Caenorhabditis elegans: one gene and its partner. The protein of the gene in region 2 interacts with the protein of the main gene of each other region in a pairwise test. Each region holds a gene or a part of one and is shown on either strand. Other genes may lie near its edges.

Region 1 (4,901 bases), on a different chromosome or scaffold from region 2:
AGAAACCTAATCGGCAGGAGCTGATGAGTTTGATTTAAAATTTGCATAGCCATTTCGACAGCAAACATTTTAAAAACAAAACCTCGCTTAAAATGAACATTTTGAGATAAAACTTCACATTAACTTTGTCTTTAACTTTGAAAACATTTTGAAACAGAAACAATTTTAATCCTAAATTTTTTTCAAATTTCCCACCAAAAAGTGCCTTCTCTTACACTTTTCCCACTGGGATCCTCAGCGGCTCCCTCCAAATCGCGGCTCATCAATCTTGCTCAAAAAAAATTTATTTGCACCCACCAATTGTCTACCACCTCCGATGGGAGACGGGTGCTTTGATTAATAATTATGATATTTTTGGTTTGGCTTTTTTTGGTTTTACTGTTCTTTTCGAAAATAGAAGTTTTGGAGCATTTTTATATTTTCCATGAATCTCGCTATTAAAAAAAAGACAATTTTGGAAAAAAAATTTGCCGTTTCAAAAGTAACATATAAACAAATAAATTTTTTAACTTGCAGTATGGTGTTTACTTGAGTAATTAGATTTGTTTCCATCCTAAACTTTCTTCCACGTGGCATATTACGTTGAATTCTTACAGAATAATTAAAATTATTATTAAAAATTTGAAAAAAATGACTTTTGGATGAAAATGTTTGACTTTTCCCAAAATTTCATCTGCATTTTTGTAATATTACTCGGTTTACTAACAGTTCTTCATAATTTACGGTTTTTTTTTCAAAAAATGATATTTTTTAAAAAAAGCTTTTTTTTGAAATTTTTCTACGAAAATTCCGAAATTGTGCAGAAAATCGTCAAATTCGTTTTCAAAATTTTTCAATTAATTTAGGAATTTTTGATTGTTAGAAAGTTTCTCAATGAAAGTTTTAAAGAATTACCAATTTTTGAATGTGAGCTGTACTCAATGTAGAAGCAAATTTTACGATAATAAATGGATAACTTGAAACATTATTTTTCAAAAAAATTTCTACAACTGCTGAAAAGTTAATTTCTTAAGAGGAAAATGTATTATCTTCGTCGCATAACGTTTTTTGTTGCTAGAAATCCGGAATACGCGTTGATTTCTGGAAAAAATTGTGGAGTTTTTTGCATTTTCGAAAAAACAAATTTCACCGTTTCAGAAATGTCTTAAATCGTTTTGTTTTCAATTGAAAAACGCTTCGATTTTGAGAAAACTGGCCGTTTCAAGAATTATTCAAAAATCGGTCTGTTTTGTTCTCTACTCTACTGACAAGTACTGTTTCAGAATGTTCACAAAAAAAGCTAATTTTATAATAAAACTAATTGTACTACGATGCAGTAAATATATATTTTTCGTATGAAAATTCTCACTTCACTCAAAAATTGATTAAAATTGTCATAATTAATTTTGAGATTTCTATTAAAACTGCTAATTCAAGGTTTTAACAGAATTCTCCATAGAATACTAAAATTTACAATTATTCCTGAATGCATATCAAAATGTTATTTTTTCTATTCGGAACTAGATCACGTAATTGTTCGTGAAATTTTTGCAAAATAAATCGAAAATGTGAATAGGTGAAATTTTGTTTTAAAAAAAAATTTTGAAAAAAATTCACTTTTTCACATAGTACTCATAAGCACTGTTATAAAACCATATCTGATGTCTCATTGTTAACATTTTCTCTCAACTCTCCGTCCACTTTTTAAATAATCAATAATTCCTCCTCAAAATCCCAACATTTTACAGATGATCTCCTCGGGGTGGATGCAAGAAATGGAGCCCATACCAGAGGAGGGAACCGAGGCGGATGGCTCCGAGTGGGGAGCTATGTCGGATACCGCTAAAAGGACGATGCGAAAGAAGGAGGTGTACACTTCGGAACAGATTAATACGCTAGTTAGGTTAGTTTTTTTTTTTGGAATTTTTATTTTTGGGAGGGGTTTGAAAGAGATCTCAAAGTTTGAATTAATTTTGAAATTGAAAAAAAAAGTTTTGCAGTTTCTGGTTCTTGAGAAGTAGTACAAGGAAATAGAAAAGCACTTATTTTTGAAATCGAACTTCAAAACCAGAAATGAAAAATTGATCAAAAACTAACTTAAAAATTGGGCATAGAACATATTTATTTGAAGAAAATTAAATTTTCAGCCAACAAAATGTTCTAAAGTTTCAAGTTCCTTAGATATCACTGAAAATATCTAAGCTCTTTTTGACATCAAAGAAAAACAGATAAGTTTTTATTATATATGATCTCGATTTTTTTCTCTGAATAATCTCACACATTCAAATTGATACTCTTAAAATTAAAAAAAAACAAAAGAAATAACTGATTGCGTATTAAAAAAATAGTTAAAATTCCGAAACTAGAAATTAAGTTTAAAAATTAAAAAAAAAACTGTTTCTAGTTCTTAAGATATAACTGCTCCAAAATAGAAGGGCAGTCTCATAGGGTCTCGTTGACAAGCTGAAACGAAAGTAGTGTATTTTTTCAAAAACGAACTAATTCTGCATAACAACAGCAAATCTCGGCTTTTAGCTAAAAAATCTAACACTTATTTTTACTTTTTCTAGTTTCCCAAATAAAACCTTTAATTTTCCATTAAATATTGATTTAAGTGCCTGTCCTTTCTAGTAGTACTGCATAGCTTACGATCTTCTCTTTAAAATATTTATGAAAATCCAAAATATTCAAAGCAATAATACAGAAAGTGTTTTGTTCTACAATTTGGTATCAACTTTTTTCTACTGTTTTTACACCTTAAGATAAAACTGCTCTGAATTGAGTGACATTCTCGCTCTTGAACAAAACGCAGAGAAATCAACCACTTTTTGACCGTTGTTCCACCACTTTTTGTAAAACAAATTACTGGTTAAAAGTTGCCTATTTCAAAATTTTCTTTCTGAAAAGTAGTAAAATATTTCGTTAAAAAATAGAAAATCGGAGTTTGTCAAGGAAAAAATTTTGGAAACTTTTTTCCGACTGTTTCTATTGCTTAACATATTAGTTCTCGAAAATAAAAAGGCAGTCGGAAACCAGATATATTTTGAAAGTTGATAATTTCTCTAAAAGCAACCTAATTCTGCATAAAGTCGGTATTCTAAAATTCTCGACTGCGAAAAATAAATTTCTACTGTTTCAAATTGTTTAGATAAAACTACTTAAATTGATTAAAGATAGTGCCATTAATTCATCCGATATTCCCATCTCACCTCTCTTTAATTCCCTCCAAAAAAGCCGTTTCAAAACCCTAACCGCCGCCAAATACAAACAGTCCGTCCTATTTTTTCCGTTTTTGCATCGGATTAGTGTTGTGTCTTCCGTCTCTCCAAATCCCACACTATCTCTCAGCCAGGTCTACAAAATGTTTATTATTGTCATTAATATTCGTTTCGGCTATGTTTTATTGGTATATCATTGGATTGGAACGACGACGCTAGTGGTCATTTATTGCAACTTTTGAGTTGCGGCAAAACTTTAGAAATTGAAAAAAATAGTTTCGGTTTCAAGGGTTTATACTTTTTTCCGAACATTTTTGGTTATCAGATCCAAAAATAGTTAAATCTAATTTTTGTTTGACAATGTATATGCAACTGAAACTGCAAAACCAAGTTAAAAATTTTTTAATGTAACCAGCCTACCATAAATAAGAATAAATTGAACATTTGAATGTTTTAATAGCAGTTTTTATTTAAGTGTATTCCAAGTTAATTTTCTTCAAAATTTGCAAAAAAAATGTTTGCTTAATGAAAGTTTTATCGAGGCCACTTTATTTTGGCAAAAAAAACTATTTCAATATGTTTTTTAACGACTTGCAAGTTAAACTCATATTATTGTTACTTAACCTTTGAAATAAATTTGACCCATATAAGTTTCATAATATACATGGAATCCTTGCCTGAAAATTTTTTAATATTTCAAAATAATTAAACGGTGAAAATTCATAAATTTGCTTTTAAAACTTCAAGAAATTTCAATTTTTAAATTAAAATTACTGTTTCAAAACTTTGAGAAAATGTTTCTGATTAGCTGTTATTTTATTGCACAATTGATAAGGATAAAATGAAACAGTAAAACAGCAATTTTTAAAAACTTGACAATTGGTTCCCGATGACGTCACTGGAAATGCAAGGATGTGCAAGGTGTGAGTAATCGAAAATACCCTTCCCTTCCCTGTCTCAAACGGTCCATTTCTCCACGGCAAACAAGAGACCATCTAAAACAATATGTCATTTCCCTCTCTCCACTCTGCGTCTCACACTCTCTTCCCGCACGTTGGCACTCTGCCAAAGTGTGTAGAGAGAGTGGAGAAATAGAGAGTGAGACAGAAGGTTAAAAAGGTGTGAGTGAGAGAATGTCCTCGATGAAGAGAGGGGACGAACAAATGAATAAATTGCGTTCGCCGTTCTCATTTCCGATGACTTTTTGTTCTTTTACTGTGGAGAGATTTTCTGAAGAATGGGAGACACTTTTTTTCCACTGCTTTAGATGTTTCTTTGAGCATGTAGTTTTGTAAACGACGTTCTCTACATAAAATTGATTTTAAATACAGTTTTTTTTGCTAAAATTCAACAGAAAGATGAATTCTAAAAAAAAAAGAAAAAATTGTGTAAAATCCTGTTTTTTTCAGTTTTAACTATGAATATTCGAAAAAAAAACTGTTTCAAGATGTTGTTGAATTTTCTTCAAGTTTTTTAGTTAACTGTTATTTTGTCTAAAATTTCTCTAAATACTATTTTTAGATATTTCACATAACAATTTTTCTTCTTAACATTGTTTCAAATAGATCATATATTTTCGAAAATGTTTCAAATATTAGTGGGAAAAATCATTCCAGCGGACAAAATAAGCTGTTAATCTGAAATTATTTCTCTGTTTTAGGCTGTCAGTGAATTTTTTAAAATTTCAGTTCACTGCTGATTTAT
Region 2 (5,060 bases):
TGGAACGGTCGGCAGCCAATTTTTGTGTTCTAATCCTGCAATCAGTTACTGATAAGACATTTAAAAACGGAAAAATACACCAAAAAAGTACTGATTCTGTGTTTTTTCTTGATTGACAGGAGTCATTGATTTATGATTATTGCGTACTCTTTTTATGATTCCTGATTACAAACGATTCACGTCATCAAGCACGTGGAGAATCTTGAAACGGATCAAGGTGATATTAATATAGACCACATATATTATTTTTTGCTCCCAAACTACGGTATCATGTCTCAAAATGTCAATTTTTGTAAACTACAAAAAGGTGTGCGCCTTTAAAGAGTACTGTAGTTTCAAATTTTTGTAGCTGTGAATTTTCATCGATTTTTTATGGTTTTAATTTTTAATTTTAGGTTTTCGATAAATAAATATACAAATATTTAATGAAAAACAATGGAAAAGTTTAATTACAGTACGTTTTAAAGGCGCATACTTTTTATGAATTTCCAAAAAAATAATTGTCGTGTTGAGACGCAAAAAGCGTGTAGTAACACACGATAAGATAAAAACTAACCAAAGTAGCCATCAACTGCTGAAGCTCAACGAACGCATGTTGTTTGGTGGCTCGAACACGCTGATGAGCTTGAACACAATGAATACACAAAGCTTCCTGACATTGCATACAGTAGGCGAACGATCTGAAAAATTTAAATATAATTTAATTATCTTTGAAGTTTTAGGGGAAAACTAACATTTTCGATTCGCATCCTTGACATTGAATCGGACCCATTGGCTGTTGTTGTTGTGGCTGAGATCCAAGTGGTGAAGGAATTGGAAAAGTTTGCTGTGATTGTGAAGACATTGGTGTTGCCAATTGAAGACGTGGCGTCGAGCACATGGAATTACGTGGTGGAGCTATGGTTGCAGAATGTTTTGGAACATCTGGTGATGCCATCAATGATGGTGGCATATGCATTGAAGTATTCGTTGGAGAGAGTGGAGAGAATACAGGAGTATCATCGTTCTGTAAAGAATACGAGGAATTAGGTGCAATTTCAGCTCGCAGGAGGGCGCATTTAGCAAAAAAAATTAGAAAAAAGACTTATTGAACTTATTGAAGCCAGGGAGAAAAATATGTTTCTTGGGAAGAGAGAAATGCTAACTTTTTTTTGCGAAAAAAATGATTTTTGAAATATTATGGGGCCGTAGAAAAATGCTCATTTTTTAATCGAGGTCCACCCCCAGAAGTTGGGTCTCGTTAGGTATTGACGGCGAAACCGTAAATTGAACCATTTTTCGATTTGCGACCACATAATATATAACATCATAAATTCGGGAAATTGAATTTGTTTATAGCTCCACACTCCACAAAATTGTACTTTTCTCTGTTTGAAATTTGATAAAAACTGACCACTGCCAACGAATCAAACACATTTTGCATCAACATCGGCGATTGTTGCTGGTGTCCTCCGATGCTCGACAGATTATTGATAGAAAGCTGTGATGGTTGTTGCAATGGAGACCATGATGTCAAACTGCTGTCCGAGTCGGGGAATCCAATTGGACGCATCATGAGCCCACCAGCAGACGATGGCATCCGTGCACCCATCACTGGAGACGGTGATCCAGGCATTCCACTGAGTGAGAATGAGAATGCACGAGGTTGATGAAGTGGAGTTGATGCTGGAATTTGGGTTATTCTTCGGTGTAAATTGAGAATTAAAACATACAATTAATGTGATTATTCATCGTTGGTGTCGAACAATCCGACATCAGAGCTCCACGTGGCGGTGATGGAAGCGTCGGAGACAGGTACATCTGCGATGTAAAGTTGGCGGTGGCTGTCGATACGGCACCACACAGCTTGCAAGCTAAAATTCATAAATCATACAGAAAGTTGAGATATTTATTTACCCCGTCGATCGTACGAGGACGGTGTCATCTGGTAGCATGATTGGCACGTTCTAAAAATAATTGTCATTTTGATAATTTGTCTTGAAACCCCACTTGTGCGCACAAACGAACGGCAGCACTCCAATCGTCGAGCTCTTGGAGCAGACTGAGCACCGAAAGGAGTCTTGCGGGAGTCCGAGTCCGAATCCAGTGTTGAACTGGAACTGTGGTTGCTGCTGTGGTGACTGAATCATTGACGGTGGAGTGTCAAATAGTGAGCCAGTGAACTGTGGTGGTGGTGGTCCCGAGCCAAGATGATTATCCTGATGATGATGGTTTGGTGAATGCTCACCGCGATGGTGGGACATTGAGTCACCTGAAGTTGTTTCGTTGGAAGCTTTTTTTTCAATTTTCAAGTGTTACCTTCACTGCTGCTTCCGCCCATCGACAGCTCGTTTCCGCTGTCGTTGGCGTCCACGTCGATCTCAGTTTGAAGCCGACGAGGTCCTGATGGTGCTCCTTCTTCTTTCTCCAATGAGCATGGCACGATGGTCGCCATTTCACTTTTTCCAAGTCTGAAAAGGTTGATTAATTATCAGTGGAAAGGGCAAACGATGACTCTACAATTAGAATACTTATGAATTTTTTGACTTTTCAGAACGAATGGAACAATTAATCGAACAAAAAAGTCAGTGAAGCACAAAAAAAGTGCACTTTTTATATGAAAATAATGGAACAAAATGAGAGAAAAATGGCCCGAGGGCTGCTGATGACAAGGATTTTTGATGGGAAAATCAGAAAAATGCCGCTCTTTCAATTTAATATTCGAAAATAAAAACAAAAAACAAAAAATTAAGTAGTCAAAAAATTTGTGGTAGGTCAAAATTTTTCGAATAAAAAAATTTTATTAATTTTTTTTCGACGTTTTTAATTTTTAATATATTTTCGCATTTTGCTTTGTTATTTAAAAGTTCCTCACCTTTATTCAAGATCACGATCGTTTCCAACGTCGCATTCCCGCCGTTTCCGGCTCTTTTTGTACTTTAAGTTGGTTTTTATCCTAAAAAACCAACTTTTCCCTCCTCCAGCGACGTCGAGCCTTTTCCTTGAGTAACGAGGCGATCGGCTCTTCCTTTTTACCCGTTCGCCAACCGTGGCCTGAAATAAAACGAGACTTAAATATATTAATTGAATGTTTTTCAAAAATTATCGAAAAATGATGCGACAATAAAATAATAAAACAAATGGGGTTACGGTAGCTTATCGATTTTTCCTTGAAAATACGGGGCGAAATGAATTTGAATGTATCTGAAGATATTTTTAAAGAGTTTTTTGTAATAAATTTGTTAAAATTTTATTTGATAGAAGAATTCACTGAAAACACTTATTTTTAGATGAAAACTCGTAATTTTATGTGTTGGGTCTCGTCACGAACACAAAATTTTTCCAACCGACTATGCGCCTTTAAGGATTACGGTACGGTTCTCTATCTCAAAAATTGTTTTACCAAACATTTTTTGCGACATAATTTGTTTTTTCGATAAATTTTCAAAAAAAATTAAACAAAAAAATCTGAAACATTTTTCCTTCCAAAAAATTCAATACGGAAGTAAGTTTTTGAGCAGCTCCTTAAAAAGTGATGGAAATGGCAAACATTTTAGGCTTTGTGAAAGCTTTACAGGGATTTAATCGAAGCAATAGAAACCGGGAAGCGAAAATTGAAGAATGCGAAAAACACTAACTAAATAAACATCTCGCGTTGGATTAATCAAAGTAAAATAAACAAAAACGCCCCTTTTTTCGAAATTGTAGGAGTTTTCTGGACAATTCTCTAGGTTTTCCAGGCCAAAAACTTAAAGTTGGAATTTGTCTTAGGATCACATTTTACACCGAGTGATTTTTACTATGTGGCCGCGACATACAAAAACACGGCCACCTTCCTAAAAGGAGCTATGGTCATTTTCTCGAAAATCTGCTCGTTGAAATAACTTGGTCGGCAAGCTTCACAAAGTTCTGAAGTGAAAAATTAAAGATGAATCACTGGCCGAATTTTTGGACTTTCTAGGCCACGTAGCAAAAACCAATATATTGTACGAATTATGTTCTGGATGAACCATATAAAAGATACATGTCTAACTATTCATTGCTAATTTTTATTAAATATTACATGTCCGGATATCTGGAAGCAAAGTTTCATGAATTTCGTTTCAATTACTGATTTTTATTTCTAAGACTTATTGAACTTGTGACCTTTTGACCTAAAGTCTCAAAATATCATAAAGGGGCGTGACATATCTTTTTCATATCAAGACAGATTCTAACAGATATACATTGGAAGTAACTTCAATTCATTTTTTGAAAAAAAAATCGCAAAAACCTATGGGACATTGAACACGGTGGGAACGATAAAAGTGTGTGTATGTCTGTGTGTGTGTGTAGAAGTCTTTTTCCCCTCTTTCCTCTCCATTTCTCTAAATTTCCACCCCTAGGCTGCCCCGCTGTCTCCCCCAGGCGCCCCAAATGTCTGTAGTCTCTTCGTCGTTCCCACTCTCTACACACCTGGGGGTGAGCGCCGCGCCGAAGGACTGCTGGGGGTAGGCTGCACGAGAGTGGACAGATGGTTAGAGAAAGAGTGAAAACTCTTTTTTTTTTGCGGAAAAAAGGGGAAGAAGGGGAAGACGAAGAGACCAAAGTGTTTCTCTTTCACTGGGCTCAGTGCTTTTGATCTCTGCGTGTCTCTAGTTTGTTCTCTCTTTCTCATTCTTTTTTCCATTCAGTGTTCCCCTCTCACCCCCAGTGATCTTCTCCGCCGCGCCGTCGTCGCAAAAACAGAATTTCGTGCCAAAAGTGCAAGGCCTCATGTTTGAAAGAGTAGTGTACTTTTTCACTTTTTTCGCAAAAAAAGGAGAAGAAACGTCGCGAAGCGTGCGTTTCTTTTTTTAATACCTCAGACCGAAACTAACCAAACAGGAATTGTGAATGAAATAAGAAATACAAATTAAGGCGAACAGTGAAAAATGAAGACCTCTATTACATAGTCGTCTAAAGATGGGAGTTTTCGACATACCATAGGCGCATTGGTCTCGCCACGCGGACAACAAATTACCGTATCTCATGTCTAATTATGGGCCGTTATTGAATCATATTTTAAAAATTGAATCAAAAATTGCTGTCAAGATTTTTAA

Evidence for each region.
Region 1: the proteins of lin-41 (region 2) and jac-1 interact in a two-hybrid assay, tested with the Caenorhabditis elegans proteins (one study listed by BioGRID).

The regions. Positions count from the first base shown.
Region 1 is NC_003282.8:16,023,674-16,028,574, reverse strand, and holds the start of jac-1 (Fibronectin type-III domain-containing protein), read left to right. Parts: upstream 1-1,727; coding exon 1,728-1,882; intron 1,883-2,021; exon of another isoform or gene 2,022-2,046; intron 2,047-2,142; exon of another isoform or gene 2,143-2,163; intron 2,164-2,186; exon of another isoform or gene 2,187-2,207; intron 2,208-2,419; exon of another isoform or gene 2,420-2,440; intron 2,441-2,585; exon of another isoform or gene 2,586-2,606; intron 2,607-2,768; exon of another isoform or gene 2,769-2,795; intron 2,796-2,946; exon of another isoform or gene 2,947-2,967; intron 2,968-3,004; exon of another isoform or gene 3,005-3,025; intron 3,026-3,153; exon of another isoform or gene 3,154-3,177; intron 3,178-3,523; exon of another isoform or gene 3,524-3,544; intron 3,545-3,807; exon of another isoform or gene 3,808-3,831; intron 3,832-3,980; exon of another isoform or gene 3,981-4,001; intron 4,002-4,012; exon of another isoform or gene 4,013-4,038; intron 4,039-4,679; exon of another isoform or gene 4,680-4,703; intron 4,704-4,795; exon of another isoform or gene 4,796-4,816; intron 4,817-4,901. UniProt on the Caenorhabditis elegans protein: May act as a positive modulator of hmr-1 function during epidermal morphogenesis. Required for proper localization of other junctional components, such as pac-1.
Region 2 is NC_003279.8:9,339,464-9,344,523, forward strand, and holds the start of lin-41 (Protein lin-41), read right to left. Parts: upstream 3,034-5,060; 5' UTR 2,855-3,033; intron 2,451-2,854; 5' UTR 2,435-2,450; coding exon 2,299-2,434; intron 2,252-2,298; coding exon 1,990-2,251; intron 1,947-1,989; coding exon 1,897-1,946; intron 1,854-1,896; coding exon 1,713-1,853; intron 1,666-1,712; coding exon 1,394-1,665; intron 1,007-1,393; coding exon 735-1,006; intron 681-734; coding exon 557-680; intron 1-556. UniProt on the Caenorhabditis elegans protein: Heterochronic protein which acts downstream of let-7 in temporal patterning. Plays a role in the developmental timing of postembryonic hypodermal seam cell division and fusion events and adult alae production.